Cricetulus griseus: one gene and its partner. The main gene of each other region encodes a partner of the protein of the gene in region 2 in a complex. Links are inferred from orthologs where the notes say so. Each region holds a gene or a part of one and is shown on either strand. Other genes may lie near its edges.

What was found.
Region 1: the proteins of Serpinc1 (region 2) and F9 are in contact, whole or in part, in a crystal structure (PDB 3KCG), measured with the Homo sapiens proteins. The link is inferred for Cricetulus griseus from reciprocal best matches to the Homo sapiens genes SERPINC1 and F9. Residues at the interface, in NP_000479.1 of Homo sapiens: Glu264, Asn265, Arg267, Glu269, Met283, Met284, Tyr285, Glu287, Met347, Val349, His351, Val420, Val421, Ile422, Ala423, Gly424, Arg425, Ser426, Leu427, Asn428, Pro429, Asn430, Arg431; in NP_000124.1 of Homo sapiens: Lys247, Val248, Asp249, Ala250, Phe251, Cys252, His267, Cys268, Glu270, Glu285, Tyr312, Arg358, Phe360, Lys362, Gly363, Arg364, Ser365, Leu367, Lys387, Phe388, Asp405, Ser406, Cys407, Gln408, Gly409, Asp410, Ile429, Ser430, Trp431, Gly432.

Annotation. Positions count from the first base shown.
Region 1 is NC_048604.1:12,691,216-12,694,194, forward strand, and holds the end of F9 (coagulation factor IX), read right to left. Parts: intron 1,751-2,979; coding exon 1,636-1,750; intron 1,298-1,635; coding exon 750-1,297; downstream 1-749. UniProt on the Homo sapiens protein: Factor IX is a vitamin K-dependent plasma protein that participates in the intrinsic pathway of blood coagulation by converting factor X to its active form in the presence of Ca(2+) ions, phospholipids, and factor VIIIa.
Region 2 is NC_048598.1:31,064,748-31,068,571, reverse strand, and holds part of Serpinc1 (antithrombin-III), read left to right. Parts: coding exon 1-319; intron 320-2,077; coding exon 2,078-2,142; intron 2,143-3,824. UniProt on the Homo sapiens protein: Most important serine protease inhibitor in plasma that regulates the blood coagulation cascade. AT-III inhibits thrombin, matriptase-3/TMPRSS7, as well as factors IXa, Xa and XIa. Its inhibitory activity is greatly enhanced in the presence of heparin.

The DNA of each region.
Region 1 (2,979 bases), on a different chromosome or scaffold from region 2:
GTGAGTTTGCCTTCTTGGAAACATCCCTAGTTAGGTCTCCATGATCACCGATTACATATTCTTAGGGAACTATCCTGGGTGGTGCAAATGATCATAGGTAGTGTACCTCATCTTCATGTTGTTCAAATGAAGTTTGAGATCCAACTGAAAGCAAATATGGGGTGGGTGGGTAGGGAATTTACAAAAGACAGTCCTTTTCCTCCTCCAATGGCCAGGGAGATGGAGAGTGTGAGTGAGTGAGGGGAACATTGATTTTGGGATTGGAATTTTGAAAAGATACAGAATTCAGAAGAAAAACAAGAGAGGAAGTCAAGCTTTTGATGAGTTTTAAACTAGCAGCTGCTCCTGTGTACTTTTTGCCTTAAATGGGCTAAAGATTCTGGATAGAAAACCAATAAATTTGAGAGAGGCAAGGAAGATCTGAAACACGGATTGCTTCTAAGGAGGGATAATTGGGTAAGTCATCACAGTTGAGAAGCATGGTGGACACCATGGAAAACTTCCCTTTCTAATTTCACCAAGGGCTGGACTCATGGAAACAGTAAAATCTCTCTCATCAAACCAGTTCTCTAGTAATTGCATTTGCTAACCTACTTGATCTCGTATAGTATAGATCCTAGATGGGATCCTCCTCTGCACAGAGAAAAATCAGTATCTATAGATTTAACAAGAGTTGCCAAATGACTAGTTGATACAGGGCGTGGTCTATTTTCAGCCCAGTGAATTGCCTTCAGAAATAGGTTTTTTCATTAAATTAACTTTGTTTTTTCCTTAATCCAGTTGACATACCGGGAAACCTTAGTATATATTCCATATTTGCCTTTTATTGCACACTCTTCACCCCAGCTAATAATGCCAGTTAAGAAACTGGTCCCTTCTACTTCAGTAACATGGGGTCCCCCGCTATCTCCTTCACAAGAATCTTTGCCTCCTTCCCTGTAACCAGCACAGAACATGTTGTTATAGATGGTGAATGTTGTGGACCGAAGGCATGTGGCTCGGTCAACCAGTGGAACTCTGAGGTACTGAAGAATGGAAGCCTGTCTCCCTTTGTTGAAGACTTTTCCCCAGCCACTTACATAGCCAGAACCAAACTTGAGGAAGATGTTTGTATATTCCCTATTGGCAACACAGATAGGTGTTACATAGCTGTTTAGTATTAAAGGTCTGTCCAGCTCCAATAAGGCAATGTCATGACTGTACTTATTAATAGATGCATTGTAGTGGTGATGAGGGATAGTTTGAATCACATTTCGCCTTTGCTCTGTGTCTTCCTTTTCATCAATGTTATATTCACCTGTTGAAAACAAATCTTGTAGTTTATTGTTTTTTGCACAAACATATTTCCCATGGGTCTACACTCTGCTTGGGTTCACTGATCACTAGCAACCAAGTCTCAATGATCTAATGTAGGGGGCGGGGAAGTTGATGCATAAAGAATTGTACCCTGCTGGGAGTGTTGTATGAGTTTTAAAAAAGAATTGTGGGGACTGGAAGGTGAAATAAGTTAGAATTTGAAATTATGGTCCATAGACCATTAGCCCGATTTAGTAACAATTCTATTGGACCTCTGTACAACATGATATGTCTATCATACACTGTTGTTGCTAATTATTATCTATTTGGTTTACTTACCTGCAACAACCTCAATTTTATCACCAGGTTTAAGACAGTGGGCAGCAGTTACAACCCATTTTTCATTAATGATGGCACCTCCACAGAATGCCTCAACTTCACCATTTAAGATGACCTGTGGGGATAAAATTAAGAATCTCACTGCATATGATATTTGATGCAGAGAAAAATGAATACATATGCTATTTTCGGGAGTGGGTAAAGTTGGCTTCTAGGTGCTGGCAGAATTGGAGGATTTCTGGAAAGTGTCAGCTCCACAGATGAATTAGTGTTTCTGGAGTACAAACTGAACAGCTGTTTCTCTAATGATCCTGAAGTGAATGCAAAAGGAGACAGAGTGGTAGGGACAGTGCTCCAGGCCAGGCAAATCTGAGGAGTGGCTTTTTTTGTGATGTGGGTCCTTGAGCTCCTTTTCCCATGTTACCTAGAGTGTGCTGGCACACACTTTTCAAAGAGATACAGTGTGTATGGAAGGAAATACTAACTCCCAAGGATGAATAATTACTATTGAGTCTCTTGTCTTGTATGGGGGCATCTCTTTGCTCCCGGTCACTTGAAAGAGAAAAATGACCTGTTCTCTCAGGAGTTGTTTCAAATTAAATTATTATGAAACGAGGCCCGAGGCCCCCGCAAGGGCTGTGTTTATTAGTCACCTATGTGCTGGTCACCAGCAGGACTCACACATCTCTTCCATCTCTCCTAATCATAGCCAGCTTTCTCTGGCTAGAAATGTAGGCTGTCCTTGTTCTAAAAAGTCTGCTTTGCTGTACTTGAGTTTTAGACAATGTGGACAAAAGTGTGTTGAGTGCTGCATTAAACATGGACATTATTAGATAAGAGGCTAATCTATTTTCTCTTGTCCATATTCACGTCATAATCAAAGGGGACTATCAATGGTTTTTTACCAAATCAATGTCTAAATCGACTTAGTTCCAGTTCCCATGTAAACAAAGGCCTTTTTGTGCCACATTTTCAGAGAGAAAACTGAGAAGTGTGGACACTAGAGGGCACACTCAGCATTCAGTCAACTCTTTGCAGGAGCCCAGTAGCGTTTGTGAACTGATGCCCTTCGCCTAAATTGGAAGTAGCCCTTCAGCTAAACCTGTTCCTAAACACAACAGAGGGGGATGTTGGTCCCTTTGTGTGCAGGGCAGAGATGGTCCTTTTGAAGGACTTGTTGTGGGTCTGAATTTAACTTGCTGAATAGCTACTGTGTCCTGGACACTGAAGCACTAGCTTTGTATCTAAAGTCCTGAGGGGTAACCCAGTTATTATAGCCCTCTCACCGCCTTTCCCATGCTCAGGCTCTCTGGCTCTTTGTAGGTATTGATTTATATTTTGAAA
Region 2 (3,824 bases):
TGCTCAGTGTTTATGATGTACCAGGAAGGCAAATTCAAATACAAGCGTGTGGCTGAAGGCACCCAGGTGCTTGAGCTGCCCTTCAAGGGGGATGACATCACCATGGTGCTCATCCTGCCCAAGCCTGAGAAGAGCCTGGCCAAGGTGGAACGGGAACTCACCCCAGAGCTGCTGCAGGAGTGGCTGGATGAGCTGACTGAGACGATGCTTGTGGTCCATATGCCCCGTTTCCGCACTGAGGATAGCTTCAGTTTGAAGGAGCAGCTGCAAGACATGGGCCTTGTTGACCTGTTCAACCCTGATAAGGCCCAACTCCCAGGTTGGTACAGGAGAGAACTGCCCCCTCTCTACTCCAGGTAAAGGTTTGACCAAATGTGGGAGAGTCGAGGAACACACAGAAAAGAGTGTCAAGTCAGGATATCTGGATTCTGATCCTGGCTCTGTGATAAGCTGTGGCGATCGATCCCTTGCCCTTCCCAGCCCCCTGTAGAAGGGGGTGTTTGCTCTTGTTTCCAGAAGTCTAGCCAGTACTGTCATCCTATGAATCTGTATCTCATAGAGGAAATAAAACCAGGTGGAGAAGGATTTGAAAAAGCATTGGAATTAAAAGAGACAGACATTAAAACCGAAGCATCCTGGGACATGATTGTAATTCCAACGCTTGGGAGGTGGGGCAGAAGATAGAATTCTAGGCCAGCCTGGACTATTTAAAAGACCTTGTCTGAAAAGCAAAATAAAATAGGGGCTGGAGAGATGGTTTAGCAATTAAGAGCATGGGTCATTATTGCAGAAGATCAGTTTCTAGAATTCAAGGCAGACATCTCACAACCTCCTGTTACTCTAGCTCCAGGGGGTCTGACTCCATAGGTACCAGCACTCATGTACACACACACACACACACACACACACACACACACACACAGAGAGAGAGAGAGAGAGAGAGAGAGAGAAGAGAGAGAGAGAGAGAGATAAGAAAATAAGCTGGCGGTGGTGGCATATGCCTTTAATCCCAGCACTCTGGAGGCAGAGGCAGAGGCAGGGGCAGGGGCAGGGGCAGGGGCAGGGGCAGAGGCAGGTGGATCTCTGTGAGTTCAAGGCCAGACAGGTCTGCAGAGGGAGTTTCAGGACAGGCTCCAAAGCTACAGAGAAACCTGTCTGAAAAAAAAAAAAAAGAGAGAGAGAGAGAGAGAGAAATAAGAAAATAAATCTCGAATAAAATAAAAATGAAATATGATAGCAAATTATATTTACTATAGAACACATTTTCATTTTTTCTGTTTTTGGTTGAGACAGGGCCTTATGTAGTCCAGGTTAGCCTGGAATCCACTGTGCAGCTAAGACTGGCTTTGAACTGATTGTGCGATTGCCACCCTGAGTGCTGGGATTACAGGTGTGTGCCACGTGTCTGGAAGTGTCTTTTACGTATCCATACATTTATTTGTTATGTGTGGTGTGTGTAGGGGATGCACAAGTGCCGCTGTGTGTGGATGTCAGAGGACAACTTTCAGGAGTTCAAAGCCATGTAGATCCCAGGATTAAACTCGGGTTGTCAGGGTTGGTGGCAAGTGACCTTACCTGATGAACAATCTCTTTGGCCCCAGCACACCTATGTCAAAAAGAAGCCCACAGCTGGGCATGGTGGCACACAACTATAATTTCAGCACTCAAGGCTGAGGCAGGGTGACAGCCCAGGCTACACAAAGAGATTCTGGCAAAGAAAGAGTTTGATTGGGTAATGGGATTTATCTTTACTGGGCTACCTTTAAACTAGCTTTGAAAGCCAAACCTCTCAAAAATGTTACCAGACTGGAAAAACATTTCTATCCTTAAGAACAGAGTCCCACCCTTCCACCTTCCCCCAAGAAGCTAACATGAAATTAAATTCACAAGACACAGGCCAAAGAAGCCCAGACACCTCCGTTTTTAAGAGGCATCCATTGAAAGGGTGGAGGTTATAACTAGGGGAGGATCAGGGTTCTTTTTCGAAAACCACCCAGAAGGGTGTCTTCATTCAGGCTGATCTCCTGTGTGGCCTGAAGCCAAATCACAGCATCCCCTTCCCTGTTCTTCCTTCCAGGGATTGTTGCAGAAGGCAGGAATGATCTCTATGTCTCTGATGCGTTCCACAAAGCGTTTCTTGAGGTGAGTCCATCTCCCTCCACCCTCTGTCTTTCCTGCATCTTCTGATGAAGAGTTTCCTGCTATGCTCTGATGGTAGAGACAGCAGCAGGAGAGAGCTGTGGAGAGCCAAGTTTGCAGTATGCCTTCAATCATGTACACATGGAGGAGCTTGAAGCTTCTGCCTTCATGTGGCATTCTCTCCTGCCAGAGAAGCAGAGTTAGAGGGTAGCCTGAGGAAAGGGAGCCAGGAAAGGGAGTTCTGAGGTTTCAGGAATACGGAAAGTATGGGGTAAAAGACTGATATCTAATCTGGACAGAATGGGGAGGGGCATGTGCTTAAGTGAAGGGTGAAGAGCAACTGAACATAAGAAAGGAGGCTACTAATGAGAGTGGGTCACCTTCGTGCCCCCAGGTGTGTTCTAGAACTACTGAGATAGATAGCATTTCAGGAAGCCTTGTTAGGCAGGCACATGTTGACTTTGAGAGATTGATTGACTACACACAATGGTGTGCTGAGATCTGAGACGTCCCAGTGAGGAAAACAGTGGAGTACTGCTCAGTCTGTCTTCCCTCAACTGAGATGAGCACAGAACTGTGTGTTAGAGTAGGGCGTGGCAGCTTGTAGTTTTGATTCTCAGATACTGAGGTGTGGCTCCATAGCATTAGGTAGAGATCTTTACCCTTGGAGACCCAGGAGTGGGGCCTGAGGATCTGCTTCTTTGCACAGATCCACTGGGGATCTTCACATACAATCAGGTTTGAGGCCCAATGGTATAGGCTGTTCTTCCTGGAAGATAGGAGGTCCCAGCCGGCTGGATATTATCTTCACACTACTCAGAAATTTAGTTCTAGAATGAGAATGAAATAGATGTGGGACAACCAAGGGGAAGGGGAAAAAACCATCAACCAACCCCACAAAGCACAGAGATCAAACATGCTTAAGAGTCAAGGAGAGGAGGAGGCAAAGGCAGGGGGATTGCCACAAGTTCCAGGTCAGCCTGGTCTATAAAGAAAGCTAAAAGCCAGCAAGGGGTACGTAGTGAGACTGTTTAAAAGAAACCAGAGTAGGTGGCTGACACAGGAGCATCTTGAATGACAGGCTAGCCTCAGCTCCGGGAAAAGTCAGTAACACAGTAATGTTAGCAATTGACACATGCTTTCTGAAGGCAGCCCTCAGATGTGTCATTCAAATATCGTTTTCTCAGGTTATTACTCCAAGAAAAACATGTCATCCAACTGGAGGATTGTCTTTTTCTAAGCCACAGGTTTTGCGTAGCTGTTTGGAGTATTTATACCTGCGATTTTTTTATTTTAAAGATTTTATTTATTTATTATTTATACAGCATTCTGCTTCCATGTATATCTGCACACCAGATGAGGGCACCAGCTCTTATAACAGATGGTTGTGAGCCACCATGTGGTTGCTGGGAATTGAACTCAGGACCTCTGTAAGAACCGTCAATGCTCTTAACCTCTGAGGCATCTCTTCAGCCGGTTTTTTTTTTTTCCCCCTATGCTTCAAGAGTGAATCTATTTCAATTACAGATCTTGGATCTTGATGCTGAATTTCTCTTAGCAGTTGGTTCAAAACAATCCTCTCTAATAATGTTTAACCACGCTATCAGAATGTGGCTTCTAGTTTGAGAATTACACTTGTGGAATTCTTGCAAGGCTTTGGATGAGCCCAGTGCATTATATCCACT